4 linked regions of the Pelodiscus sinensis genome follow. The protein of the gene in region 3 interacts with the protein of the main gene of each other region in a pairwise test. Links are inferred from orthologs where the notes say so. Each region holds a gene or a part of one and is shown on either strand. Other genes may lie near its edges. The genes, in order: MPP2, PALS1, LIN7A and PALS2.

Region 1 (7,542 bases), on a different chromosome or scaffold from region 3:
GGAAGCCAGGGCCCCTACAGATCCAGCCTCCATCTCTCAGCCAAAACCTGCCAGCTCCTGCCAGCCGCATCCCCCTACCCCTTTAAGGGGAGGCAGCGGGGCTCAGGGCCCCTCACCCCCTACCGCGGACGCGTTCCTGACCCAGCCCTCCAGCCCATCCACGTCACCTCATGGGGGAGCATTCAGCACGGCCGGGCACCCTGCCCACACTCCAAGCCAGGGCGCCCCCGTCTGAATGGCCCAACCCCACCGCTCCCAGTGCGGAAGTCAGGTCGTTAGTTTCCCGCGGCCTCTCACTGCCTCAGCATCCCTGGGGGATTATCCTCCTAGCCCCTTCCACAAGGGGAGCGGAGACAGAGCTGGCCAGGACTCTGAAAGGTTCGCCAGTCGCTGTTAGGCACCGACAGTCCTTTACAAATCTGGCCCTACGTGACTAGCCCAAGGCCACGCAGAGTCTGTAGCAGAGACACAAGGCTCCCGTCTCTCAGGTCAGAGCGCTAACCACTGAGCCCTCCTCGTACTTGGGCTCTTGTCCCCTCCGTTCCCCACCAGCTACTCCTCCGGGGCAAGGAGCAAACGAGCTCTCAGGCGCAAGGCCAGCCCCATCCAACGGGCTTACAAAGCTCCGGGGGTCCTTTCCCATCTCCCCGCTCATTAGCCATGCGCCCGCCAAGCCAGCCAGCCAATCCAAGGGACAAGGCGGTGAAAGACCAAGGGAACTGGTGCTCTGTTACGGGGCAATCTCACAGCTCTGCCTCCTTCTAGCACCGTGGTGTCCAGCACGCCAGCCACTAGCCACATGTGGCTATTTGGCCAGTTGAGTGTGGCTAGTTCGCTATAGCAGTTGCCACTTGCTTCAAAACTGGATGGACACCGCAGTTCTAGGAGGAGGGGTAGCTCAGTAGCCTGCTAAACCCAGGATTGTGAGTTCAATCCTTGCAGAGGCCACTTGGGGCAAAAGTTTGTCAGGGATGGTACTTGGTCCTGCTGTGAAGGCAGGGAACTGGACTCCATGACCCTTCAAGGTCCCTTCCAGCTCTAGGAGACAGGCAATCTCCATTGATTTAGGCCATAGGGACGGGATTGGTCAAACCAGCTGATTCTCACATCCAAGAGCTCCTCTGAGTGCAAACTTGGCAGCCTGGACAGTCTCCAGTGGGCAGCTACCCAAGAGGCATGGGCACAGACTGAGGGTGCCTTGTGCCCCCAAAGCCATGCAGAGGATGGGTGACATTTCCCAATTCCAGCCCGGACGGGGCATTTCTTACCCAAGTCGGAGCTGGTGGCAGCCACAGGCATCTTGGCAGCTGGGGAGTCAGCTGGTGAGGGCTCCTCTGAACCAGCACACACACACAGGGATCTGCAAAGAGAGGAAAGGCTGAAAGTCAGACACTCAGAGGGGCAGGGGAGGGCGCAGAGCTGGCCAGGGGGGACACAGGACACCAAGGAAAAATTTTAGCAAGGGACTCTTCCCCATAAAGTCAGGGAGCCTGTAGCCCAGGGTGCAGGCAGTCTAACTCTGACTGTGCCCCTGCTGGGGGCATGCAGGTCCTGGCCGGATTCCTGGCCCATCAGGGCCCAGGGAGGAACGCCATCCTACCGCCGGAGGAGAGGGAGGGAGAGAGAAAGAGATGGCCCGTAGGGACCAGCTGCCCATGTTCAGAGCCACACTCAGCCCTTCCCCCTGGGGACCTCGGCGCATCATCTCCATGCGCAGGAGGCCGGGAGAGGCTGATGGAACTGGGCTTTGTGCTCAGGAGGGAGGGATGTTTGCAGCGTGAGTCTGGAGCAGGAGCAGCGGGGCGCTCCCACCACCACACCCGCCCCCTCACGCCTACGCCGTCCTCTACAGCGCCCCCTGCTGGGAGCGCCTGGGACTGCAGTGCTTGGGAGCACCCTGCACCCACAGCCAGCTCCCCAGCACCATGCCCCCCCCACCCACACAGCGCCCCCTACTGGGAGAGCCTGGGACTGGAGTGCTTGGGAGCACCTTGCACCCACAGCCAGCTCCCCAGCACCATGCCCCCCCCCCACACACAGCACCCCCTACTGGGAGAGCCTGGGACTGGAGTGCTTGGGAGCACCCTGCACCCACAGCCAGCTCTCCAACACCATACCCCCCCCCACACACACAGCACCCCCTACTGGGAGAGCCTGGGACTACAGTGCTTGGGAGCACCCTGCACCCACAGCCAGCTCCCCAGCACCATGCCCCCCCCCACACACACAGCACCCCCTACTGGGAGAGCCTGGGACTGCAGTGCTTGGGAGCACCTTGCACCCACAGCCAGCTCCCCAGCACCATGCCCCCCCCCACACACACAGCACCCCCTACTGAGAGAGCCTGGGACTGGAGTGCTTGGGAGCACCTTGCACACACAGCCAGCTCCCCGGCACCATGCCCCCCCCCACACACAGCACACACACAGCACCCCCTGCTGGGAGAGCCTAGGACTACAGTGCTTGGGAGCACCCTGCACCCACAGCCAGCTCTCCAGCATCATCCCCCCCCCACAGTGCTCCCTGCTGGGAGAGGACAGGAACTTTATCTGTAGTTGTTTCCCTATAATCCTGCGGGGGGGGGGGGGGGGGGGGAGTGGAATTACTACTGGAATGGCATTAACCCCTGCAGTGCTGGAGGGAGCACATGCCCTGAAAGGCCCACAGCCGTGCCGGCCTCCTGGGACTGGAGAACTCAAGAGGGCACCAAAGAATCCAGTTGGCTCAGGACCCTGGCGCAGGCAGCCCTAGATGAGGCCTCGCCTACCCAGCGCCCCCTCATGGCAGCGAAGAGCTGGGGCCCATCGCCCATGTCCCGCCAGGCGGCCGGACACAGACCCTGTGATGCTCTCGCCTCTCCCCGAACCCGGGCCCCACGCCAGCAGCTGCAGAAGGGACAGTTGGCACCCAGTAGCTGCCGGGCCCCGGAGCCAGGAGCCATCCCAGGCCTGCATCCTCTCAGGCCTCACTGCTCAGAGGAAACTGGGCCTCCGACAAGCTGCCAGTAGGAAGGGGATGCTAATTCCCTGGTTGCCATGGCAACACTGGAGCGGGAGAACAATAAGGAAGCAGTGGGAGCCCCCGCCTCTCCCCCCAGCCCACAGCAGCTGTCAGGGATCTGAGCTGGTGGGGGAGCAGAGGGGAGGCAGATCCGGATGGGAGGCAGCGAGGCGGCCAGTGGGCCCTTCCACCAGCCCAGGACCTATCAGGGATGTACATTTTGATCTAAACAGCTAACCGGTTCGACAACCAGTTAAACGATAACTGGCGGGGTCAGGGCAACTGGGGTGGGGGTCTTATTGGATCCGGGTCTGGGACGGCTGCAGCAGGGGCTGCTCTGACCCCACAGGCTGGAGGCTACTCCAGCCCCACTGCTGCCAGCGTCCTGCCAGCCAGGCCGCTATGGGCAGAGGCTGCTCCCATGGGCCAGGCCCACCAGTTAACCAGTTACCCCCCTAAGGATGCTGGTAAGACACGTGGTTACCGGCTCACGAGTTAACCATTTAACCGGTATCCCGAGCGTCTATAGCGCTATGAGATGCTGCAGGGCATCCCCAGCTCTGCCCCTGCCAAGAGGCCCCTCTTGAGAGGCCCGTAGGTGGCCCAAAATAGCCGGAGCCAAGTGTGAACCGGCCAACCCGCTTCCCTTCCACCCAGGGGCAAAGCAGGCCCACCCAACCCGCCCCTGCTGCTGCGGGGGGTTCTGAAAAGGCTGGTTTGCCCGGCCTTGGCGCCCCTGTGTGCTGGGGGCAGGCCTCCAGGCGCAGCAGGCCCCTGCACTGATGGTCTGTGAACTCCTCAGAGCAGAGACCCAGCATCCATTTCTGACCTGATGCAGCGACAGGCCCCCAGATCAGCTTCCCCCCCCAGCCCCTGGCTTCGAAAGGCCCCAGGGCTGACGTAACCCCTCCCCAAAGCCACATGGGCGCCACGTTCCCAAGGGAAGCAGGCTGCTTGCATGTCCCCAGCCAGCCTCTCTGCTGGGGTCCGGCTGTCAGGCCCTACACCCCTCCAGCCAGCCTGCCCCCACTCTTGGGAATCTAATGGGCTGCACGTGAAATGAACACGCCTGGTCTCAGCTTAGCAGCTGCCGGAGCATCGGTTTCATTCCTTTGGGGCCAAGCAACAATGAGTCACATGGGGTGGGGGGAACTTGCCTTTCCCTGCTCCGTGCGGCAGGAGTTAACCTCACCGGCCCATTCCCAAATCCAGACACCTGAGCTCTGGGCAGGTGCCTTGGGAATGTTCCCTGGAAGCGCATGGGTCTCCCCCAAGGAACTCAGTGGAGTGAATGGGGCAGAAGCCGGTGTCAGGCAGAAGGCCATGCTGAGCTGGTGGCGCTGTGCCCGTGCCAATCTGGACTCGGCACTGGACCAGGCTGGTCCGATCACCCAGCCACCTCTCTGCTGGGCCCAGCAGCCCTAACAGTGCAAACCGGGCTGCCCTCTGTGGGGTGATCCTGACTCCGAGGGCAGCGTGAGCGGAGGACAGGGGATGCTCCCATGGGGAGAGGTGAGATGTAGCTGAAGGGTCCGTTTGAGCCATTCACTGCTAGAGACAGAGCAGCCATCAGGCGGCTGCCCCCCTATCTTGGTTGGAACTTGGGGGAGGGTCCCATGTGGCTCCATCCCTGGCTGTGAGGGGCGCAGCCGGGAGAATCCCGAGGGATTAGCAGGGAATCTCCAGACCCTGTTGGGACCGGGTGTCGCACACTCCAAGCCAGGCCTGGGAAGGAAGGCTAGGACAGCCTGATCAGAGGACGTTCGCCTGCCCCCAGCGAAGGCTGCCGGGGCTGCTTGATTGCAGAACGGTGTCTCACAGCCCCAGCCCAAGACCTGGCACAGACACCACCCGCAAGGAGGCCTGAGTAGCTGCGAAGGTTCCTGGATCTGGTTGAGCCCAGAGGCCGACAGCCCTGGGGTGGGGATGGGCCCATGTAGCCCCATCCTACCGCCCTAGGATGTGCCGCCTGCCCCCAGCTGTGGCTGGGCGGACACCTGCCACGCTCAGTCCCCCGCAGCGAGGATCCTGGTACGAGCCCTGCTGGGCAGATCCTGGAGCTCCGTTGTGAGCCCTGGTGCGCTCAGCCGGCTGCCAGCGTGACATGTGGCAGAGTGCCGGGTGCCCGGCTTCTGAGTTTCGAGGTGAGGCGTGAACCCACCTGCAGCGGATCCTCATTCCCGGGGGAAGCGCTTTGACACAAAGCAGCCCCCTCCTCCGCGCCACAGCAGCGTGCCCCCGCGCCAGCCCCTGCAGGGGACGCGGACGTGGCACCACCGTGTGCAGAGCAGAGGGTGGGGGGGAAGACCCAGCACACACGGCCTCTAGCAACAGCTCATGGAGCAGGAGACAGTAACACGGCCGGGGGAGTTCTAGTTCTAGCAGGTCACCTCCTGTTCCCTGGCTCCACTGGTGAGCCCGCAGGTCAGGAGTCCCTGCCAGGCCCCAGGAAGATGTGCGCCCCAAGGGGTGAACCAAGGAAGGGGAGCCAGGACTCCTGGGCCCCCAGCACCACTCTGCCATTGACACGTGTCCTCCGTTTCTAGCATTGTTTCTCTCCTTGGTCACCAATTCGCACTGGCCAGCCGCTGCCTTCACAAGTCCCCTTTGACCAGGACTGACAGTCTGACTCCACGGTGGTCTCCTCTGCCCACCCCCAGGCATTCCCCCGCCAACTCTGATCCAAGCAGCACCCGGTGGCGACAGAGGGACCCTGTCTCCAAGCTCAGTGCTCTCTGATCCGGCACCAGAGTCTGGGGAGAACCCGCCATTCTCGGGACACTAAGTCCCTGCCACGCCATGCCGAGATCCTGTGCACAGGGTGAATGACAGTCCGGTCTGGCAGCTCTCTGCTACCCGCCTCTCATCGTGTCCCTTTTCTTTCATCCCTTCCCCCTCCCCCCCTACACCCTTCTGCCCCTACCAGAGTGCAGGGGGCAGAGGGTTCTCCCTGGCAGGTGCTCAGCAGTGGTCCCAGGATACCAGAGCCAAGGTGGGCGAGGGAACCTCTCCTCTGGGCCCGCTTGGGTTGGTGGAAAGCGACACAGAACCCTTCTGCCGGGCAGACGTACAGCGAGAGAAACAAAGCGGCCGATTGAGCCGGGCCCAGATGGGCAGCCGGGCTGAATCCCGCCATTCTTCAGCAGCGGCGCTAGGCAGTGAGTGTCTGTGTGTAAACGTGTCATGCTTGGGGAGGGCGACCCGCATGAGCTCATCCCTAAAAACACGGCCCCTCCTCCCATCTGCCCGCGCCCGGGGACTTGCCCTCTCCTGGCACATTCCCAATCCCCAGCGCCCGCGCCTGGCAGCTGCCGCTTCGCTCCACGGGACTGGACCATGATGTGAGACCCACCAAGCCCCCGGCTCCAGCATGGGGGGGCAAACGAGACCTATTAGACCAGCCCCGTCCCATTCAGAAAGCGCCTGGGTTCAGTCTTACGTAACAACGTGTTGCTCTTCGCCATGCCGGAGGCGCAGACCCGGGAGCCCAAAGGAGCATCCTGAACTGGGGAGGGATCAGCTCGGAAGTGAAGCACCAGCCAAGGGCACAGAGGGAAGAGGAGCCATTTAGACCCCTCCCCCCAAAAAACCCAACAAATGACAGCGAGGAGGCCCTCGGGGGCAGGAATTCTGCAGCCCAAAGCCCGAGACAGGGCTCAACTCCTGCCAGGGCTAAGCCCCAGGCCCAAGCCCCAGGCCCTCCGGGCTGGGCAGTTCCCGGCCCCTCCGGGCTGGGCCGCTCCTGGCCCCGGGGCCCTTCGGGCTGGGCCGCTCCCGGCCCCTCCGGGCTGGGCCGCTCCTGGCCCCGGGGCCCTCCGGGCTGGGCAGTTCCCGGCCCCCCAGGCTGGTCCGCTCCCGGCCCCGGGGCCCTTCGGGCTGGGCAGTTCCCGGCCCCCCAGGCTGGTCCGCTCCCGGCCCCGGGGCCCTCCGGGCTGGGCAGTTCCTGGCCCCTCCGGGCTGGGCAGTTCCTGGCCCCGGGGCCCTCCGGGCTGGTCCGCTCCCGGCCCCCCAGGCTCCTCTGGTCTGGGCAGCTCGTGGGCCGGGCCCCTTTTGCTGCAGCGGTTCTGAGTGTAAAACCTGGGCGTGACGCGGCCGCTCCCGGCAGGGAAGGAAGCCCGGGGCAGCGGACCGGGGCGGGGAAGGGGCGCAGCCCGGGCGGCCGGAGGGAGGCGGCAGGTTCCAAACTGAGCAGTCCAAGGGGCTCCCCGCAGCTGGGGGGGGTCGATCCAGCTGCGGGGCTGCGCAGACGGAGGCGCAAGCGGCGCGTTACTGCTGCGGGCGGCCGGCCGGCGGGGGGAGGGGCTCTTACCTGCCCGCGCTTGGCGCAAGCCCCCTGCGCTCTCGGTGCGCGGCGGGTCGCGCTGTTCCGGCTGCGCTCGCTGGCCAAGCCCCGCGCTGCCTCCGGGGCTCTTAAAGCAGCAACGCCCCTGGGGAGGGGCTGGCTGGGCCCCACCCGCGGCGCAGGCAGCCCCCTGGGCCTCCGCTTACACCCGGGTTTGCGCGGGGGCGGCCCGGGCTGTGCCACCAGCGTGGGAATGACCG
Region 2 (7,414 bases), on a different chromosome or scaffold from region 3:
TCTTCCACTAGATATCTGGAGACTTACATATCTCAGAATTAACATGGTCTGCTAATCCATACAGGCAGAGAATCAAAACACTTATAAGGCTACGTCTACACTGGCCCCTTTTCCGGAAGGGGCATGTAAATTTCATGAGTCGTAGTAGGGAAATGCGCGGGGGATTTAAATATCCCCCGCGGCATTTAAATAAAAATGTCCGTCGCTTTTTTCCGGCTTTTAAAAAAGCCGGAAAAGAGCGTCTACACTGGCCCCGATCCTCTGGAAAAAGTGCCCTTTTCCGGAGGATCTTATTCCTACTTCAACGTAGGAATAAGAGCCTCTGGAAAAGGGCACTTTTTCCGGAGGATCGGGGCCAGTGTAGACACTCTTTTCCGGCTTTTTTAAAAGCCGGAAAAAAGCGACGGACATTTTTATTTAAATGCCGCGGGGGATATTTAAATCCCCCGCGCATTTCCCTACTACCACTCATGAAATTTACATGCCCCTTCCGGAAAAGGGGCCAGTGTAGACGTAGCCTTAGATATAATTATAGGAAGAGAAAAGACAAAAACAAAGTTGGAGGCTGGTGTACACATTTGACTGCTTAGTGAAAAGCTGTGTACTATACACTCACTGAACCTGCTCTTGGACAGCATCAAGAAGAAGATGCCTGCCATCTAGAAGAACTACACAGACAGAAGGCTGAACTTCTGCATATTTGTGGGCTCATAGGACCTCCCTGTGTAAATCTTGGATACAAAAGACAGTGATCAAGCTGGATGACTCTGATTTAAGGGAGGATGGAGTCTCTGCATCCAGTAAGCAGTGTTTTATTGCTAAACGTAGACAGTTAGCCATTGTGCAACTTTCATGCAAGCATCTGGGTTTAAGAAAGTAATTTGTGGATTCTTACAATAGCTGCCAGTAGTGCTTGTAAAAATGTGGATCTAGATCATAAAAGGCCAGCAGAAACGTCCACCTCTTTTCCTACTCTGCCATAACTGGTCACCCTCAGTCTGCTACTCCCCCTGTCTGTAAAGAATGCAGAGTAGTTCTGCAGTCAGCCTGAATTTGGATTCCATTATTCTCCAAATGCCTTCCCTTTCCCCTTCATTTGATACTCGCACTCCTGCTACTAATCAAAGTGAAAATGCTTGGTTTGGTGTGCAGCTATAACATATGGCAGAACAAAAAATGGAACACAAACTGGTAGAGCATAGCCTTAAAGGCACTCAAAATCTACAATGTAAAAAGGCTAGAAACTAGAGCTTATTAATCCTTCTGTGGAAAGGTGCACACGCTGTTTGGCAGGGTCCATATTAATGGAGGATTAGCTGGCCAGTTTATATGCCAAGAAACGAAAAAGAGGTTTGAATCTGAAGACACACTGGAGTATATAGGTTTCAGAAAAAAAACATACATGGAAAATATGGACAGAATGTGTAAGTATAGGCAAGAGACTAAAAAGTGGCTGGACATCTATATGAAAAATTACACAAAGCATTCAGTGAACATGCAGCAAAGGAGAAAAGATTTAAAGGGGCAGGTGTCTGCTGATTTTTTTTTTTTTTGGTGGTCCAAGAAACATTTGCTGACATTACTGTGTCCTGAGCCACCCTCTACCTTGGTACCTCCTATCTAATCACTATCCTAACTCTCAAGATATGAAGATTATAAGATAATGTGCCCCTTCTGTCCCAAATCTTATTTAGACACTCATCTCTTTATTGAGAGTGGAAAAGGGAAACAGTCCAATACATTAGTTAATAGAGGAAAAATGAGGAGTGTTAAATTAGCAAAGAGTAAAGGGCTACGTCTAGACTGGCATGATTTTCCGCAAATGCTTTTAACGGAAAAGTTTTCAGTTAAAAGCCTTTTCGGAAAAGCGCGTTTAGATTGGCAGGATGCTTTTCCGCAAAAGCACTTTTTGGCCACGGATGCTTTTCTGCAATCTAGATGCACTTTTGCGCAAAAAAGCCCCGATCGCCATTTTCGCGATCGGGACTTTTTTGCAGAAAACAAATCTCTGCTGTCTACACTGGCCCTTTTGCGCAAAAGTTTTTCAGAAAAAGACTTTTGCGCGAACGGGAGCAGCATAGTATTTCCGCAAAAACACTGACAATCTTACATGAGATCGTCAGTGCTTTTGCGGAAGTTCAAGTGGCCAGTGTAGACAGCTGGCAAGTTTTTCCGGAAAAGTGGCCAGTCTAGACACAGCCAAGCTGTTTAGTTTTGCCAGTATAACTGTGTCTATACTAAGTACTCTTGCCAGCACAGGCATGCCCATCACAAATCACAGCTCATCAGAGATTGTAGTGTAGAGCTAGCTTACACTTTCTTACATAAAACTGGGATGGGGGATAGGAGAAGAATGTGTTGGTTTTGCTTTTACTTGAAAGCTAGTAGTTTTTGTTAAGTTTAGAAATTGAATAAGGAAAAGTTATTTACTTGCTCCAATAACATAAGAACTAGGGGTCACCGAATGAAATTAATAGGTAACAAGTTTAAACAAACAAAGGAAGTATTTCTTGATGCAGCATACAACCTGTGGAAATCCTTGCCAGAGGATGTTGAGAAGGACTTTAGCACAGTTCAAATAAGAATTAGATAAATTCATGGAGGATACGTCTATTAATACTTATTAGCCAGGATGGGTAGGAATGATGTCTAACACTGTTGGTCAGAGGCTGGAAATGGGTAACAGGAGATCGATCACTTGAAGAGTCCCTGTTCTGTTCAGTCCCAATTTGTACCTGATATTGGCCACTGTTGGAAGACAGAACACTGGGCTAGATGGATCTTTAGTCTGACCCTGTATGGCTGTTCTTAATACATGTTAAACTGAACACATGGGCTGTGTCTAGACTGGCCAGTTTTTCCGGAAAATCAGCTGCTTTTCCGGAAAAACTTGCCAGCTGTCTACACTGGCCGCTTGAATTTCCGCAAAAGCACTGACAGCTCAGCTTTGTTTTCCGCAAAAAAGCCCCGATCGCAAAAATGGCGATCAGGGCTTTTTTGCGCAAAAGTGCGTCTAGATTGGCACGGATGCTTTTCCGCAAAAAAAGCACTTTTTGCGGAAAAGTGTCCGTGCCAATCTAGATGCTCTTTTCCACAAATGCTTTTAACGGAAAACTTTTCCGTTAAAAGCGTTTGCGGAAAATTATGCCAGTCTAGACGTAGCCATGGATTTAACCCTGTGGACTGATTTGACTATGTGGCTCAGTTGCTGCCTGGATCCCTTTTATGATATCTACAAAGAACAGTCCCTGCAGGGAACATGGTCTTCTGACTGAAAATACATTGATCGTGATATATCTTCCCTTTTTTTTCAAATATTTTAATATAAATATTAAAACAAATAATTGAAGCCCAAGCACTCACCCAGTGTCCTTTTGGCCTGGGATTGCTGCACATAGCCAAACTGCAGTCTTGTCTTCACTTGTTAAGTAGTCTCTTAGATAATCTAGTCTCAATAGGTTACCATAGCATAAGTGACCCATCTCTATCTCTTTGTCACTTGTTTCTGGCTGTAGCAAACTGTCTCTCAGTCCATTCTTCTTCCTCTCTATGAGGTTGGCCACTGGATGGTTCTCTCTGATCCACAGGGATCTGAGTGTTGCCTCTACTGGCTCATGACTGTCTCCTGCACTTGTCCCTCTTGCATAACCTGGGTGCCATTGCATCTCTTCCAACTTCACTAGTCCCTTCCTTCTGGGGTTTCTCTATTAGCTGGATTCTAACGGTAGTGCCTGTCTGCAAAACTGGTACGTCCTCACTGGCCTATAATCTGGTGCCTCCTTTCTCTGACTAATGGTCATCTCCTCTTGAGAGTATCCCCTTCCTTCTGGCTGCCAAAGTGCTCGACTAACTGGTGTCGGAACTTTTATTTATTTATTTATTTATTTATTGGTCTTTGTCCCGTCAGGGCTTGGGCTGGGCTGGTTGGCGACCACGCTGGGGTATAACTGTGGGTGTTAGCTAACCAGCGGCTCCGGTCCCACAGACAGCCTTGCGCAGGAGTCTCTCACAATCATCCGTGAGTCGTAGCTTGTGGCTACTCTGCCCTTCTCACCAGCTCCACTGAACACGACGCAGGCGGCAGCAGAGGCATGACGCAGGGGCACGAAACCCTGCAGCAGGCGCGAGGGACAAAGCAAAGGACAATTCAACCGGCGGCCCGTTGCTGAAGGAGCTGTAGGCCGAAGAGCTACGCACCCCTCCCCGCCCCCGAGCCCCTCCGCAGCGAGCACCAGTCCCTCAGCCGCCTGGGCAGCAAGCGGGCGCGCGCACCCCAAGCGCTCAGCCCCTCCAGCCAATAGAGACGTGCGTCTGCAGAAGGCGGGCGGGGCGCGTGCGTGCGGCCGGCCGTTGGGGTGGGGCCACGGCTGGGGGGGTGGATCGGGCGCTGCCGTGAGGTGTTTGTCTCCTGGTATGTGGCTGGGGCGGCTGCGCAGCTCCGCGGGGTGAGCGAGACGGGGCTGTCTCCGGTGTCTCCGGGCTGGGCGCGAGGGGTGTAGAACAAGGCGCTGCTGGGCGCGTCCGTGCGGAGCGGCGGCAGCAGGAGTAGGCAGGTGAGTCCGCCCCCCACTTTGTGATCGACTCCCCCTGGGGGGGGTGGTAGGGGCGTTGGGTTCCGGGGGGAGCTCTGGTCCCAGCCCCCGCTGCTGCTGCTGCGCCTCGGGATTTCCCAGGACGGGAGGCGGGCGCGGGGCGGATTTTGCTCCCCCCCTTCCTCGTGAACTTTGGTAGGGTCCCAGCGGAGCTGCGGAGTGACCCGTGTCTGTGCAGTCGGGGGGGGGGGGGGGTGCGTGTATCTGGGGGGGCCTTGCCGTTTGCGTATCCGCCACCTTCCCTGTACGCACTAGGGGCCCGATCGTGCAGCGTTTGCCAACATAAGGCTTGCTCGCCGGTGCAACCATTGCAAGTTTCAGCCTTTAAAGGTGCGTTAATAAGGCTCCCCGTGTTGAGTGTTGTCTTTTACTTTCTGAATGTATTTATTTTAATAATGGTCTGTACGTACTTCATCATCTGTTGGGCAAGCCAGCGTTTGGAAATCTTACTGTGAAGAGATTGCTCGGTAGAGATTTATGGGGCTTTGCAGGATTAAATTAAAGTGGCTTGGCAACCAACACATTCAAGGTTGCCCAGTAGGCATTGATCAAACTATTGACTAAATATCAGTGAATTACACTGATGAGACTGTTACGGTAACGTTTCGGATCTCGCTAATCGACGGATCAGAGTAGGAAGTGTACACCTAAGCAACAAGGAAGACAGTTCCTGTCCCAGAGATATTACTTTAGAAAGAGTGGCAAAATACAGCTTGCTGATTTTATTAGAAAGCTGACAGCAAGTAGAAACTCTACCCAAATCAGTCACTTACAAGGTATCCTCACTGTTTTGAATATACAGATGGTTTTTTTGTTTGTTTGTTTACAAAATTACTAAAGCTACATAGCTGAAAGAGATGGGAGTGAAGGATGAAACTGTTCATTTTTGCTTCCTGTTTGTGTGGGTTTCCAGTCAACAAGAGTAATATTTTTTTAAAGGTAGGAAAATCTGGTTATAAAAACAAATGACAGGGATGTGAGAGAAATTGTAATATCCAATTTAATTTTAAAATGAGCCATCAAAATGTAAGTTTCAAAATGTGAGTTACAATAGTTTTGAATTCTGTGATGGAAGCAAATGTTGGATTTCATACCTAATGGTGCCTTTGAAGCAGGGAGACTACTATTGTTTAAAAGCACTAGTTAATGAGCAATTTTATTGTATCTCTAAATATATTTTCTAATTGTTAAACCAGAACCCACTGACAATGTTTTGTTCATGCTTATGTGAATTTTTCAAGTTGTTGCAGAGGCTTAGAACTAAACTAAAATTGCAAGTAAATCCTTAAGTTCTATTAAATGCACAATGAATACTATATAGTTTTTAAATCAAGTGCATTTTTATGATAAATTTAAAAATCAGTTTGTTGAAGGGTCACCAAAGATAACCAAAATCTTTGAGGAAATACTTTGTTAAATGCTCTCAACATTTTTTTATATATTTTTTTTATTTGACCTCTGAAGTAAAAGCATGTGTCCCTTTTTATTGCATTATGTAATGTTCTAGGCAATCTTTTGTTTGGAGCCTAGTAAAGCAATTCTGGAATGATAAGAGTCAGAGTGGTAGTCAAAGATCTTGAATCTGAATGCATTGCAACTGCCTGTTCTTACTGATTTTGATTTTAGGGTATGCCTATTCCACAATGGCACAGCTATGGTGCTGCAGCTTTCCTGTTGTTGAACCATGGTCTGTCGATTGTAGATAGGTTAACAAAAAAATTCTTTTGTTAACCTAGTGGTGTCTACACTGGTGATTATGTCTACTTCTTACATTGAACAGGGCTCAAGTTTTTCATAGCCCTGAGCAGTGTAGCTAGGGCAATTTTTTTGCCTTTGTTACACATTGGAGCTCCTTTGTGAATTTGTCCTGAACTCTGATAAGCAGGTGTGTCTCATACATAGCTGATACAATTGAAAAATCTTTGAATACAAGTGAAATATCTTCCTGAGACACTGTTCTTGTTGGCTGGCTTCTTGAAAAGCATTACATAGTGACTTGGACATGGCAGTCTCCTTCCATTAGGAATGAAAATGCAAAACTGCAATCCTTCATAATTCATTTTTGTACAGTTCTAGTATTTAATGTGTTTCTGGCGATGGTGCTATTTCATCTTGGTTACTCCTGCTTTGGGAACATCAACCAAGGTTTTCAAAAGTGACTAGTAATTTTTCAGTGCCTCAATTGTAGTGTATGCAACTTCAGACACTTTAAAGGTCTGCTTTTTTTCAGAGGGTGGATGTACCACGCTTTCTTAAAATCGGACCTCTTTAAGGGGCATCATGTGGCACACCTGAAATCATGGTGGGTAAATATAAATGGTTTTAAAAATATTTTGATTAAATAATTTAAAAAATGGATTTTTATATTTTTTTACTTTGTTTTCAAATGGAATATTAATTCAATGCAAAATACACCAAGGCTTAAATTATTTCTTAAAACATTTAAATAAAAATGTGTTAAATCCATGAACTGCTGTCAAACTTAGAGATGAAAGCTGTTTTTTCTCTATAAAGAAAGGTGTTTCCCATTATTTAAACTTTTGAGGTCAAGCTTAATAAATATGGCACAGTAGCTCAGCCAAAATAATTTCGGAGATTGTTTCATTGTCAAGAATATTAGGCAATGGGAATATAAATGCTAGTAACTTTCACTTAGGCATACTTAAAAATTTTCCTCGGCTTATATGAAACAATCAGTTTGTTTAGTTTAGAAAAGAGAAGATTGAGGGGGGACATGATAGCAGTTTTCAGATATCTAAAAGGGTGTCATAAGGAGGAGGGAGAAATCTTGGCCTCTGAGGATAGAACAAGAAGCAGTGGGC
Region 3 (7,779 bases):
CAACTGTGTCCACATAGAAAAAGTGGTCTTCACTGGGACATGAATATTTCATATATATTTCTTTGCCTTGTTGCATGAAATCACCTTGTGAGATGAATTCTGCATCTCAATGACATTAACTGTGAGTCCTGTTAGGAGTCACTAGAATTGATGAATGACCTCACTTAATTTTCATTTTCTTCAGCCACAGGAAGACATTTTGGCCCTTAACTTTCACCTCTACAAAAGTGGTAGGCACAAGTCCCCAGCCCATATCAAGTGGAATCTTAATAATGATTAATGCAGAGAACGAAAATTAATGAAGAGAATGAGATTTTAAAAACCCAATAGTTTTAACAATATACAGGAATTCAATGGGATCATAATATTGAAATACTAATAATTCTCTTTGAACAGCCATGCATGCTAGTGGATCACCATCTGTTCAATCCTTTACCAAGAAATAGACTTGTCCTGCTTAATGCAAACAATATTGGGATGAAACTGTACATTACACAGTAGATTTCTAAGAACTTTGTAGAAACATGTATTCTCCTTAATTTACTGCATGACAGTAATTTATTTCAGGAATAACTTCATTTTGTTCTGTCTTTTGTCTGAGTATCTTTTTCAAAAATCCACCTAACTCACAGTAAAGTTGTGATCGGCACCACAAAAACTGCTATGCTCTCAAATTGCTTCCAGCAAAATAATGTTAGTGTCCTCTAAATTAAAATCTCATACTGAGTTTATCAGGTTTCTTTTTCATTGAATGTACAGCAGGAAGCTCCCCATCTTAATCTTCTAAATAGAGTATTTTTAAAACCAAGGCACTGGCCTAAATCATTCTCTACAAAGTTAAGGATTTACAAATTGCTTGGGGGCTCAGACACACAAGATACGGATTAGAAAGAAAAATGTTCTAACACTTAGGGAGTTCTGTCCAGACAGCATGTTTGATCTCTCTTAAACTAGAACCCAGAAAGAAGAAAAAGCCATGCAAATAATTATAACTAAGCAAGTTATTTTCCCCTCTCTAATAACCAAATACCCCTAGGGTTACAAATGGACTTTCAATGGCATCAGTTTGGAAATCATTTCCTATTGTTGCCTGATCAGATTGGGTAGGAGGTCTAATTTTACTGCCTTGTGGCAGAAGTTTAATTTTAGCATAGCTTCAAGCTTTCTGTACCCCCTCTTAATCTCTTTTGTAATGGTCTATACAAAAAGAAGGATAAAAAGGTGCTGCTGTCACAGTCTGGTGGGTGGAAAAGACTGATCAGTGTTGTCATCAATACCAGGAGCAACTAGCTGTCTGCAGGAATAGGTTCACAAGCTACTCTATCTGAAAGCAGTATTAATAGTAGCAAATATGGCAAATTTCAGTTCGCTCACATTTCCCTCACTCCCTCCCCCCCCCCCCCCCCCCGCGGCAAAAAAAATCAGATTTTTTTCACCCAGCTGAGTGTTTCTTCTGCTAGTGCAGGAGCCCTTTTCTTCGTGGTTCAGCTATGAAAAAGTGAAGCCACCACAAAGCTATTTATTAGAAACGTCTCTATATGCCAGCAACTCCACCGCTATACTTGAGAACCTAGTAGAGGGACATTCTCGGAAGCCACGCACGCTAGAGATGCTAGGACAGCAAAATGCTGTACTGGAGAGCAAGTTAGCAGAGACAAGGTAGCGAAGAACCGATGCTTAAGAGCAAAGCGAGATCCTAGAGCTACACAGAGTAACAGCCGAGAGATCTCGGTGTTACACTACACTAACCAGCAGCACCACCCTGGAGTTGCAATGTACTAAGCCCCTTCCTCCTGGTACTGGACCGATCCGTGCTTCTGCTGCCTCCTCAGGGTGCCAGCCCGACCCCAGCCCCCCAAGCCCTTCTCCCACTGGAAGAAAGTTTGGTCTCTTTGCTTCCCTCCCTGCCCTTCCACCTTACAGCCACCTGCAGTCTGAACTGCCAGGGGAGGCAGCGCCCCCCATTCCCGCTGCCCTGTTCTCCCGCAGCCGGCACCAAAGCAACTCCAGCGGCGGCTTCCACACCGAGCACCCGGGCCAGCGGCTCCCGAAGCTTTGGCGGCTCCCCGCGGGCTAGGGTGTGCGACAGGCAGGGGCTGCCCGGCGGCAGCCAGGAGCGGGCTGTGCCGGCCGGGGACGGGTCTCCAGGAGACACCAGCCTCTTCCCGGCAGCCTAGCGGCGGTCTCGCTCCGGGCGCCGGGCAGCCCTGCCCGAGCCGCTCCCCGCGGCGGCAGCTCGCTTACCTCTGTCCAATGTGAGCGGCTGCACCGCTGCGAGCGTCGCCATGTCTGCGGCTGCAGCCGGAGTGAGGCTCTGCTCCGGCGGCGTGCGGGGGAAGGAGGAGGAGGAGACAGGGAGGGCGCTGAGGCGGTGGGTGGCGCTGGGGCGGGGAGGGGGCTAGTGCGTGGCCAGGGATGCTGGAGGCTGCCCGGAGGCGCGGGGCGCTAGCCACATGTAGCTAGGCGGGGCGAGCTCCGCCCCGGCCCGAGGTGCGTGTGCAGCCGCTGGCTGGCTCCCCCCAGCGCCTTGCTGAGGGCGTCCAGATGTGCGCGGCAGCTTGGGCCGTGCTCCCTGCCCGCGGCTCTCCCCACCCTCCCGCCGGGGCAGGGGCGAGCCCATCGGGCCTCCCGCAGCCCTGGCCTTAGGGAACTCTGATTGCACAGCCCCGGGGGAAAACCCCGACTAGCTGGAGCTGTAGCAATGGCGCGGGAGTGGGAGCCAGGCTCAAGCCCCCGGGGAGGGAAGACACGCCGGATGGCGGCTGGCAGAGCTGGGGAGTGGGGGAGGAGGCAGACTTCAGATGCTACCCGAAATGTAGCCTCCCCTTCTGCCGTCCTGTGGCGCCAGCGGCGGGGTGGGCTCAGAGAGAGGGCAGGGCAAGGAGTGGCTGGGAGGAGAACTCTGCAGCTGGTTGCCCTGAGCGTGGGGGGAAGGGGAAAGGATGCTGCTGATAGACAGTGTAATGGGGTATGAATTGGAGGGCACCGTAGCCCTTGTGCCCCAGAGAAGGAGGGAGATTTCTCCAGCAGCAGGAAACAGCCCCTTCTAATTGGGTGTTCTTTAACTTGTGTGGCTCCAGCACTATCCTTATCTGTAAAATGGGGAACTAAGGCAAAAAGACTAAGTAGCATGCCGAAGCTTGCATGGAGGCGGTACACAATGACAGGAAGGAAGCCAGATTTCCTGAGTCCCAGTCCAGTGCTCTAGATACAAGCCTAGCCCTTACCCTGACTGTGCAGTCATGCAGTGGTTGATTTTCTCATTTTTACTTACTCCATGGAAGTTTGCCAGGTTAGATGTCAGTCCTGGACAATATAGTTTTGTAATCTTGGAAGGAAAATGGCTCAGCCATTCTTGGAAATGAAAAAAAAATCCAATACAAAATAAGTTCTGCAACTGGTTTTGTTTTAAATCAGCTTTCATGCCTCAGTGGCTTGAGGTAGAAGATGGCATTTGGCAGAGAAAGTGTCCCAAAGTCATAGATGTGGTTTTGGTCATCTGATGCTGACTGTGATTTGTGAAAGCTGGAAAGATTTGTAAACAGGCTCATGGATATTTTTATTGTGCTCTCTTAATAACTTCCTAGGCCAGAGGTTCTCAGACTTCATTGCACCACAATCCCTTTCTGACAATAAAAACTACTTCATGACTCCAAGACTCAGGGGTGGATGAAAGTTTTGTGGGGCCTAGGGCGCGGGACCTATTGAAGCGTGGGGTCTGGGGCAGCCACCCCGCTCACCCTGCCCTATATCTGCTGCTGCCAAGGCTATGTCTACACTGGTGGGTTCTTGCACAAGAATGGCCATTTTTCTGCAGAGCATCCACACTACCTGCCCGCTCTTGCACAAGAAGATTTACAGTAAAGCGTGGTAAGAGAGGGCTTCTTGCGCAAGAGCTACGCTCTTTTCTAACAGGTATAATCCCTGTGGGCACAGGGCAAGGGTTTCTTGTGCAAGAAAGCCCTATGGCTAAAATGGCCATCACAGCTTTCTTGTGCAAGAGAGTGTTCACACTGCCATAGACACTTGTGCAAAAGCACATGGAAGTGTGGACATGTTCTTGTGCAAGAGTTCTTGCACAAGAACCCTTGCGCAAGATGTTGTTGCGCAAGAACCCATCAGTATAGACATAGCCCAAGGTTATGTCTACACTGGCGGTTTCTTGCGCAAGAACATCTTGCGCAAGGGTTCTTGTGCCAGAAGTCTTGCGCAAGAACACGTCCACGCTGCCCTGTGCGAGCTGTGCTTTTGTGCAAGAGTGCCCATGGCCGTGTGGACTCTCTCTTCCGGAAGAAAGCTCTGATGGCTATTTTAGCCACAGGGTTTCTTGCACAAGAAATCCCTGCCGAGCATCCACACTGCCCTCTTGCGCAAGAGCTCCTGCGCAAGAGGGCTTATACCTGATAAAAAAGAGAGTCGTGCTTGCGCAAGACACCCTCTCTTACCATGCTGTACTGTAAATTTCCTTGCGCAAGAGCAGGTGGGCTGTGTGGATGCTCTGCAGATTCTTGCGCAAGCACAGCTGTTCTTGCGCAAGAAGCCACGAGTGTAGACATAGCCCAAGAGTGGGAGCCAATGCCTAAGCCTACCCAAATCCCCATCATCTGGGCCAGTGGGCCAAAGCCCAAGCCAGGGCTGGGTGCAAAACTGAAACAAAGGGCTTCAGCCCCAGGCTTGTGCTTTGGCTTTAGCCCCCAGCAGGTATAATGTCAGACCTGGCAACTCAATCAAAATAGGGTTGTCAGTCCACCCACTTTGGGGTCCAGACCCACAGTTTAAAAACTTGAACTACGTAAACCAAAGGGAGTCCAGCTATCTTCCTTCTGAGGAATAAAAGTGTATAGATAGAGAGCTAATGAACCGCTGCAGCCTGCCATCTGAAAGATGCAGTGGTAAAAAAAGGTTTGCATGAAATGAGACAAGGCCTGCTTCCTCACTGATTGCTCTGCTGTGCATTATGCGCATTTTGCTGTTGTTCAGTACATATTCATAGGGCCAGTCGGGGGGAAGAGGGAGAGGCAGGAAGGCCATTTGGTCTGGGCCTCAAGTTCAAAGGGGACCTCAAATTTAGACACTTGTAAAAAATTGTTAGCATTTGATAAGTATCAGATCAAAATGTGACAGTCTCTCAGCTTAAAGTTGCAAATTTAAGCAAATAAGAGATGTGAAAAGGCCAGAAAAGCATTTGCTAAATAAAAAAATCAAATTATGTTTCACTCTTTTTGGTGCCTTATTTTTTTCATGTGCGTCATAGCGCTTTCTTGCACAATTTGTCTAGGGACCTCAAAAGCTGGAAGTGGCCTGGGACTCTCCAAATCTCTGAGAGAGCCTGTATACTTAAACATGGTGGGATTTTTGTTTCTATATTTTCTCTTTAAAATATACAAGATAAACTGTACTAAAGAAATTGCATTACAAAAATGTTACAGACGCAAAGTGAAATTTTGGGAGTTCAAACAAAGAATTCAATTAAAATTTAAGTAATAAAGGAACATTTGAATATTTTTCCACACTTGAATATTTTACCACAAATTTTGTATGTTTTATAATCAGGTGAGTGTAAGAGAATACACTTAACTTAGAAAGATGAGTTAAAAAATAAAAACTCCTCGTGTGTAATAAATATAGTAGTCAAATCAGTTTGGCTGTGTTGACAAGAAAATGTTTTAATTGGCTAAAATGCTGAAATTTGAAAATCAGTTACTGCCAGGCAGTCAATTATCTTAACCTAAATTAACATAAAGATTTTTATTATGTAGATTTTATGTATTTGCATAGCAGCTGGATTGACATAAAATGAAACAGCTCCTTTTAAGCAGTCACATTAGTATATATGGGATTCATTGCCTTAAACTGAGAAGAATGTACACATTTGGAGCTATAACAGACTAATGTGACAACTCTCAAACTGTTATGACACTTTTAAAAAGCCTATTATGGGAAGTATGTTTAAATAATATTAAAATCACACTGCCAAGCTAATTAAGCAATCAAGTTGTTTTTTCCCTGTACGTTTTCAGAATTCTTCAGACTCTTTTTAAACTGACAAATTAAAAGCAGACATTTTAAAACAAAATACATATATAAAATTGTGTGGCCTGTTAATAAATGACTAATAGACATGTCACATGGATAAGTTACTAAGATCCAGCTCTAAAAAAAGAAAAAAAAAAGTAGTACTCAAGTTTAAGAGCAATCACATTCGGAAAGAGGTGCTTTCTACAGGCTAAATCGTAGGGCAACTTTGTGCCTCTTTTGAGTGCCCTTTTGTGACTACTATTAGATTAACAGGTCAGATGTTCCACGCCATGCAGGGTTAAACCTGATCAATACTTGAATGGAGACTTCCACAGATCTTGGCTTTTCCTTGGAACTTGTTGCTGAGGCACTATATGACATCTTCAGATTTTGATCCAGGGTTCTATTTCTCATCAAACTTCACTTTGGGTTGTTATAGTCTGCCTATCTAAATTCTTCCTGTAGTTTCAGTTGGCTATTGTACTCTTCATTTCATGTCACATTCTGTAATATTTACCATGTGTTCCATCCCAGGAATTTCAACCATGGAGAAATTGATTGCTTCACAATATAACACCAGTTTTAATCTCCTCATCTCCTTTTTATAAAGCAAAGAAAATGTTGTGTGTGCTTCCAGTCCTCTCAAAAACAACTTGATAATTCTAGAGACAGAATTCCACTTCCTCAGGAAATTTTGCAGCAAGGTCAGCTGTAGCATTGGTGTGTCTTCATTGGAGCCTGGTCATTCTAGCTTTCTGCATGGAACTCTTCGCTTCAGTGGAAACTCTATACGCATAGGGGTTTGCAAGATGATGTGTGGAGTTTGTAAAATGGATCCTTTGGGATTTAAAGCACATTATCGGCCTTTGCTTTAAATACTCTTGCTGACATTGGCTTAGGTCACAACACACCATAGTATTTCAATGAAAATATAGGATGCTAGGACTATTATGCAGGGCCTGCTAGTGCCTTTTTTCTTTATAACTCAGTCATAAACATTTGTTTTGGAATGAATTCTGGCATACAGTGAGAGTGGGAGAAAGGACCCTCTTTCTCTTTATTTAATCAGACCAGTTCCACATTGTTTCTGTAAAGTATTTGAAATTTGGTTTATGGTGCAGTTTGCTTATTGGGCAGAGAATTGCATCTTTCTTCCAGAGGGACTTTTGGGGGATTCTAAAATAAAAAAGATGCAAATTGGTGCTTTTGGTAATAATTATACATGTTACTAGCACGCGTGGAACATTCTGCACTGGGACGGTCATCCACTGTTAAATATTATTCCAATTAGATTGGGATCTTGAGACATAGTCCTCAACTGCTTCTAGTGCTGCATTAGTTATATCCTGGAGTCACTTTTAAGTTCCATTCGAACATATGACATAGTTTCAAAAAACTGCTTTTTAAAAAACTCCAGACAAGCTCAAATTTAACAAATGGTGTTTTAAAATGCTAAACTCCAATTGTCTACAGTGAAAATAGGACTGAGCTTTTGTGCTCTGGGAGCATCACTGTTGACTTCAATTAATGTGTGGGGGCAAATCATTAACGCATAATTTATAGTCAACGTTGGATAGGTTTTATAGCAGCTGACACTGATGCTTTTGAAAGTATTTAAGTTAAATTAGTTATTTTATGACTTTTGAGCTCAGTGAATACACTTTGCGCACACATGCTATACTGCCTACTTTTTAAATATTCAAACTATGATTGATGCGAGCTTTAAACCTACGTCTCCCAAGCATCAGCATAATGAGCAAT
Region 4 (7,467 bases), on a different chromosome or scaffold from region 3:
CCAGAGCCTGGTTTTCCCCAGACAGCCTGCAGGAGAAGGGAACTGCAGAGGGGGAGGGGGGACCGCTGGCAGGGAGCACTGCCCCTGCCCCCTAGGAGAAGTTGCTGCTGCAGAAGTGCCACCCTTGCCGCCAAGCGGCCCTAGTAAGCCCCTCCTTCTCAGTCCCCTGTCCTGAGCTCCTTGCCGAGTCCTGCACCTCCCACCTGCCTTGACTTTTGCACCCTTCCCCGAGCCCTCCACTTCCCAACCCTCTGTCCTAAGCCATCCACCCCCTACCCCCCTAACCCTCAAACTCTCACTCTAACCTTCATTTCTGAAAAATATAAACTTTGAAATAAAGCATGTATATTTTTCATTTATTTTTCAAAAAAAAAAAAAATTTCCCTTCAGTTAAAGACCCAAACAATGCCGGGTACATTTGCTAATTATATCCATACTACAGAAATGTAAACAGAAGCACAAAAATTACAGTATTTACACTGGTTGCACAGTGAGTCAGTGAACAGATTGGGAACATATCCAAAGAGTATTCTGATGCTTAGTCCCTAACTTTAACAATTCAACCTCACGACTGGATTATACATAGGGAACATTTTATTGGAGGGCAAGCTGTTTTAAAACAAGATCTCTCCGCTAAATTGGTAGTTATAATAAGTATTGACTGTGATGGAATTACATGGACCAGAACAGAATTTGGCCCAAAGATAGAAGCAAGAGGTGCATTCCTCCTATAAGTGCATATGCCTTTTCTTTTGCCCAAATTCCCAGGGTATTAGGTAAATTATATTATTATAGAAACACCAACAGAAAGTTACCACAGCACTAGCAACCTTATTCTCTTTCATTTTGTTTAAAGGGTACTGAGCATCTGAGCACTGGACACAATAAAGAGATGATTTATTATCCTCAGCCTGGAGGCTTTCCTTGCTGCTCCCAATGGCCAATTGCAGTTAACGGGAGCATCTGGAAGCCACTTTCATGCCCGGATCCCATACTCCCAGCCACACACTGAAGACCCCAACCACCTCCCTTCCTTCCTGGCCAGCTTCACCCTCCAGTCTGCCTCCACACCCAGCAGGGCCACCAGATACTATGGACCCCATGGCAAGGTGGAGTTGGGAAGATGGCTCCATACCCTCAGAAGAGGCAGGGATGAGGTCAGTCAGTCCTTAGCACAGAGGACTGAGTCCACAACTTTTTACAGCTGTAATTTCCAATCTAGCCCAATATTACTTATGCAAGATGGAAGGGTGAGGGGCAAAAGTTTCTTTAAGCCCTGTTTATGCTCCCAATCTTTTTTGCTGAGAAGTGGTGAGAGGACTGTAAGGTCTTTGTGGCACGGATCACATCATTCCATGTGTTTGTACAGCTCCCAGGACAATGATTCACCTCTAATTGGAGGCATTGGTTGCAACTGTAATTCAAATAGTAAATAATTATAGAAAGAATTTTACAGCCTGGCCTCCTAAACTAATACCACATTTACAATGGCAAAATCATTTACTTGTTAATTTGAAAAAGATTTTTAAGGTGCTGGCTTCTACTTCAGTTGCTTTTGCTGGGCTCACTGTTTGGATTGCTTCCTTTGACTCTTCTGGCTGTATAAAAGCCAGATTGTTTGTTATCTACTGATAAAGCACAATGCCAATCTGTTAAATGAAAATCAATATCTAGCCAATTTTTTTCCAAATGAACTCTACCCCATATTGCTCTGACTGTGCAAGCTCATATTCCTCCTTCCACTTATTGCTTCCACTGCAAGAGCCAGCATGTGTGTCCCCCATTGAACCATTATTCAAAGTGATCATGTGTTCATCACTCTATCTGGTTTTCTTAAAGTGGCATAATCAGATTAAGTCCAAAATGTATGTTCAATTTTAAAAATGGTTTTACAGAGTATCAGATTTAAAAAATTGAATAAAACTAGTTTGGGATTTTTTATTTTAGATTTAAATATTTTCTTGCATTGGGACTAATTCTTCCCTTTTATACACCTAACACTCCCACTGGCTGCAATTGGAGTTTTGCTGGCATATGTAACCTAATGATATAAATAGGTTCAGTGTTTGCAGTGGGGCAGCAATGGGTTAGACCATGAGAGCCTAAATGTGAACATTTCTGTGGTACTGACTATAAACAAATGTGCCATTAGTCTATGTCACTGTTCAAACCAACTAAAATGCAAAAAAGTAAACAATGACTAAATGCTGAGGGGAAATGCTGAGGGGAAAATTAGATTTTCAAATGTCGCTTTGCCAGTGCCTCTCACTGGGTAGCTAAACCTAGTGACTGGAATCCACAAAGGACCTGAGGCACTGCAGTGCTGCACACCACAGTGCCTAACTTTTAAGCATTAGAAAAATTGGAGGAATACAGTTTTTCACAAAGTCTGCATTTGGCACCTACACTCTCCTAGGCCAGTGTTTCTCAACCTTTTTTTTTTTAAACACACACACACACACACACACACACACACACACACACACACACACACACAAAGTACCCCCTTTTTAAAAAAAAAAATTAAGTACCCCCACTACCTACAGTTTTCAGACATTTTTTTTCTACCATTGCAACACATTTGTTTAAACAACTTAATTGTAGCCAGACAGGCAATTATATTTTTGGTTGTAAAAGTACAAAAATAATAAAGCACTGTAAAACTTAAAATAAAAATTCAATTCCAAATTTCAGTTGTGTTGACCTATGCCCCAGACTTCTCTCAAGTACCTAAGGTACTCCTAACACTGGTTGAGAAATACTGCCCTATGCAACAATGGGCAAAGATCCAGACCTTAGAAGGGGAGCCAGAAAACCAAACATACTAGACAAAGAGCTGCTCAAACAAGCCAGTGGGAGACAACAACCAGAAAAGAGCAATTTTCTCTGGGTTTATACACTTTCTCATCAACTGTTGGGAGTGGGCCACCACACCCACCTTGACTAATTGGCCCAATTAGCACCTGTGAAGTTAATGGTGAACTCTGACTTCAGAAGAGCCAGGACTTCCACCAAAGTATTTCCCATCCAAGTTGAAACCTCTGGTGACAAAGTTACATCAATAAAATATACTATAATCTAATGAGCTGGACTGGGAGCCAAGTATAGCCATTTGGGTAACTGAAAAGCATCAGCTTATTGGTTACTCATTTAAATGGTTACACTCTTAGGCTATGTCTAGACTGGCATGATCTTCCGCAATGCTTTTAACTGAAAAGTTTTGCCCGAACGGAAGCAGCATAGTATTTCCGCAAGAAGTACTGATTTCTTACATGAAATCATCAGTGTTCTTGCGGAAATTCAAGTGGCCAATGTAGACAGACAGCAAATCATGCCAATGTAGACACAGCCTTACATCCCTAGGTAGTACTAGCCCCCACCTTTCTTTTCATCTGCTAGTATATTTAGGCCTAGCCCCGTCATTTCCACTCCAATGTATCTGACAACGTGGGTCTTTGCCAAGGAAGACTGATGCCCAAATAAATCTGGTGGCTGTGTCTAGACTGGCAAGTTTTTCCGCAAAAGCAGCTGCTTTTGCGGAAAAACTTGCTAGCTGTCTATACTGGCCGCTTGAATTTCCGCAAGAACACTGACAATCTCATGTAAGAAATCAGTGCTTCTTGCGGAAATACTATGATGCTCCTGTTCGGGCAAAAGTCCTTATGTGCAAAAGGGCCAGTGTAGACAGCTCAGATTTGTTTTGCGCAAAAAAGCCCCGATCGCAAAAATGGCAATCAGGACTTTCTTGCGCAAAAGCACGTCTAGATTGGCACAGACACTTTTCCACAAAAAGTGCTTTTGCGGAAAAGCATCTGTGCCAATTTAGATACTCTTTTCTGCAAATGCTTTTAATGGAAAAGTTTTCCGTTAAAAGCATTTGCAGAAAATCATGCCAGTCTAGACGTAGCCATTAGGTTTTAAGGTGCCACCGGGCTCCCGTTTGTTTGAACCTTTGAAGAGCGTCTGTTAAACCCTAAGTCAAGGGACTAGGCGACTAACCACATCTGAGCCCACTCATGGGGCCGAACCAGTCCCTGGTGTAACCCTCATTGATCCCAACGGCTTTACAGGACGTCCCCACCCGCCCAGGGAGGCAGGCAGAACCGAGGACGAATGAGCCACGCCGAGCGGGCTTCACAGCAGGTTTTTGTACGACCTAATGAGGGGCGTGGCTCTGCCGCCACCCCCCGAGCCAAGCCGCCCCCAGCCGGGCCAGACGCCAGCGGCCACTGGGCAGCATCCACCCTCTCCCCTTAAAGGGGCCAGGCCTGCGCACAGGACGCTCGCTTAACCAGCTGCCGGCACCGCAGTGCGAAGCGAGCCGGCTCGCCAAGCGGAGCACGCAGAGGGGGCGGGCGGCCCAGGCACGCGGGCTCCGAAGAGTTAAAGGGGCGGGGCCTGCCTGGCGGGAGGGGGCGCGCTCGCGCTCTCTGGCTAGAGCAGCTCGTTGGGCGCTCGGCAGAAGCGCAACCGCTGCTCCGGGTAGCGCTCGCGCGCCATAGTGGCTGCGGCCGCGCGCGCCGCGAGGGAGGAACGGGGGAGCACGAGAGGCGGCAGGCGCTGCCTCGGCTTTCCGAGGACCCCGGGCAGTCGCGTGTGTCGATGGGGCTGCGCTGCGCTCGCTGAGGAGGAGCCGGAGCGAGGGCGCCGGGGCCAGCCGGTGAGTGCCCCCCCCGTCACGCGGCGGGGTTGGTGCGGGACGCTGGACTGGGCTTCTCCCAGGCGCGGGGGGCAGGGAGGAACTGTTGCTGTTCTGGCTTCTCTGCGGAGACCCTGCGGCCCGCTGCTCGGGAGGCTGTGACGAGTGGGGGCCAGCTGGCCTCGGCGCTGCGAGGAGGCTCCTTTGCCTCCTGGGGGCGGGGGTCGAGCCGCCCCGTGTGTGAGCCGCCCGCACGCAGGCCCGCCCTGAGCCACATACCTGCGGGGGAACATGGTGGCGCTGGAGCCGGGGTTTGCCCCCTCGGTGCGGACTGACCGCTCGCCGCTACCGTGACCCCAGCGATTTCCTGGCCGCTCTGGGTTATCTGCAGCCTCTCGTCTCCTGAAGACTATCCCTTCCCGCTCCGTTCTCCCCGAGCGGGGTTAGTCCCCTCCCGCCCCCCATTGCTGCCTCCTTTCGCCCCCATCTCATCCCCGCGCGGCTCCTCCCAGGGATTATCATCCCACCCTGCGGGATTATTCCCGAGCTGCCCCTGCTCGGCTTCTTCCTTCCTCGAGGAATTATCTCCCCTCCCTGCTGCAATCCGCATTGAGATGGAGGGGGGGGGGGGAGAAGGTGGTTTGATGTTGCAGGAGGGTGGGTTGTAATAGCCACAGGGCTGTCATGCCACTACGTTTTGTATTCTTACTACAGGCTGAGGGAAATCTGGGCGGCGGGGGGGGGAGAGTAGGGGGATACATGGTAAAGGTAGGGCTGCAGCATGTGCGCCAGGAGGAAGATCTAGCTTCACCAAAACCTTAATGCGCTTGGTGCTGCTGGTGTGAGAGAAGCCAGCTGTCTGGCATTATGCTCCATGTATGCGCACACACCTTCTTATTGGGTTATGGAGTCTCCTATTCAGTCCTTTATTGTTGGTTCGCGTCTCTAGAGAAAATACGTAGTCTTCAGTTCATAAAAATACCTATCAAACAGTAACATGAACAAGAAGCAACATCAATGACATTGCTCTTGTGCAGGGTCACATCTGAGCAGAATACTTATTTAAGGCAGTTGATGACTGGTGAAGGGGCTAAACATCTTGCACTGTCCCCAGTGTATGTGTATGGACTGATGCTGCATTAACACCATTGAAACAAGTTTGCTTAATAATGTAGGGATAAGGGTAATCCTTTGTGTGGCTTCCACTTGAGTCTGACTACACATCTCTATGCCCAGTTGCTGCTGTACATGGTAATCTTTGGGTGAGAATTCCAGTTTCCCCTCAGTTGTGCAGTTTAGGGCCCAGGATTACATCTGTTAAACTTCCCTTGACTTTCCTGGGGGGGTGGAATTCGAGAGGGACTGACTGGCTATAAATAGATGTCTGGAGTAGGCTTTGAACAAATTTTGTGTGTGTTAGTTATGAACACAGTGTCAAACTGCTTGGTTGTCAGTGGTGTAATAATGTTTCCTTTTAGTTCCACTGTAGTGGTTGCCTTTTAACACTGTCACCAAGCTCTGTTTAGGAATGCCATAGAGGAACTTGATATTTTTTGGTACCTGGTTTGACTACTCTTTCATATACTTTGAAAATCTTAAAATGCTCTTGAGAAAAGATCAGACTGACAAACACAAATGTTGAAGGCAGAGAGCCATCCTCAGTCTTCATTTCATGCTTGAGGCTGGGTATTGCACCACATAAGCATAGATTTCCTGAGATCATGCATTGCTTAGAGATGTCTGCAGTGTCAAGGCACAATGTCATGAATAAGACTAGAACGTTAGTCTTGGCTTTGGATTTCCATGGCTCTATTTTAACAGGGACTGGCTCCACTCTATTTGAAAATCAAATATTATTCCTTCTCCCAATAGCTTATTGACTGTATTGATCTTTTAACTCCTTTGAATTCAGTGTGCTTTCATAGGTTGCAGATCCTACAGATCACTGCAGTTTCAGTTTCTTAAGAACAATATAACAAAGGTTATTGTTAGACCATAGCAGCTTCTTCAGAACTGTATTTGTTCTGTTGCTATACTTGTGGACTGTGCGTACCAAAAAACTCTGAAATGATTGAAAAGCTGTTGCAGCATATGTGCAGTAGATCTTCTTTAGATGAAAATTACTTTTTTAAATTATTATTTTTTTTGCAAACAGCAGAAGCAATTAATCTTAAATGATGGACTAATCACCTGAAGCTTTTGTTCTGTTGGTGGCATGGGACAATCAATATTCAACTGAGATTACATCCTCATAGTGCGAGGCACTGAACAAACTCAGAGTAAGATTGTTCCTGGCCCAAAGGTCTGGCAACATAAATAGACAAGATAGATGAGGCGCATGAGGATACACAGGGATGCAGAGACATGTCTTAACCAAGGTTACACAACAAAGTGTTAGAGCTGGGTATAGCTTGAGCCCTGCATGGATACAAATTTTGTATGGACATCCATTCTGCAAAAATGAGCTGCGGATATAAAGCAGATCTGTGGATTTACATGGTTATTCGTATAGAACCAGTATGACCAGTTCATTTTGCTCCATCCCATTGCCTCTCTACATAGGCTTGTTCATTTAAAATAATATATGTATTTATCTAATCCTACAAGCAGAGAAGCAAGTTTCTTTGATATTTGAGTGACAATGTTAACTATGTAGCCTTAACATTTTTAATTATTGCAACAGCAGTTGGAGTGTACATGGAGCATGGATTTTTTTCCTTCTATACACACGTACAACATCAAAAGGCTTGTGTCCTATAGATTGAATGAGAGAAATGCAAACAAATGGTTGTGAGTGGCACTAGTGTGTTGTCTGCCACAATACAGAA

The links.
Region 1: the proteins of LIN7A (region 3) and MPP2 interact in binary tests that used the Homo sapiens proteins (3 or more experiments, as listed by UniProt). The two-hybrid records come from large-scale screens. The link is inferred for Pelodiscus sinensis from reciprocal best matches to the Homo sapiens genes LIN7A and MPP2.
Region 2: the proteins of LIN7A (region 3) and PALS1 interact in binary tests that used the Homo sapiens proteins (3 or more experiments, as listed by UniProt). The two-hybrid records come from large-scale screens. The link is inferred for Pelodiscus sinensis from reciprocal best matches to the Homo sapiens genes LIN7A and PALS1.
Region 4: the proteins of LIN7A (region 3) and PALS2 interact in binary tests that used the Homo sapiens proteins (3 or more experiments, as listed by UniProt). The link is inferred for Pelodiscus sinensis from reciprocal best matches to the Homo sapiens genes LIN7A and PALS2.

What each region holds. Positions count from the first base shown.
Region 1 is NW_027466028.1:232,493-240,034, forward strand, and holds the start of MPP2 (MAGUK p55 subfamily member 2), read right to left. Parts: upstream 3,017-7,542; 5' UTR 2,955-3,016; coding exon 2,839-2,954; intron 2,789-2,838; exon of another isoform or gene 2,768-2,788; intron 1,361-2,767; coding exon 1,269-1,360; intron 1-1,268. UniProt on the Homo sapiens protein: Postsynaptic MAGUK scaffold protein that links CADM1 cell adhesion molecules to core components of the postsynaptic density. In CA1 pyramidal neurons, required for synaptic KCNN2-containing channel function and long-term potentiation expression.
Region 2 is NC_134714.1:72,830,358-72,837,771, reverse strand, and holds the start of PALS1 (protein PALS1), read left to right. Parts: upstream 1-4,400; 5' UTR 4,401-4,553; intron 4,554-4,803; exon of another isoform or gene 4,804-4,922; intron 4,923-6,822; exon of another isoform or gene 6,823-6,894; intron 6,895-7,414. UniProt on the Homo sapiens protein: Plays a role in tight junction biogenesis and in the establishment of cell polarity in epithelial cells.
Region 3 is NC_134711.1:71,565,791-71,573,569, forward strand, and holds the start of LIN7A (protein lin-7 homolog A), read right to left. Parts: upstream 3,003-7,779; 5' UTR 2,288-3,002; coding exon 2,245-2,287; intron 1-2,244. UniProt on the Homo sapiens protein: Plays a role in establishing and maintaining the asymmetric distribution of channels and receptors at the plasma membrane of polarized cells.
Region 4 is NC_134712.1:198,413,953-198,421,419, reverse strand, and holds the start of PALS2 (protein PALS2), read left to right. Parts: upstream 1-4,458; 5' UTR 4,459-4,660; intron 4,661-7,467.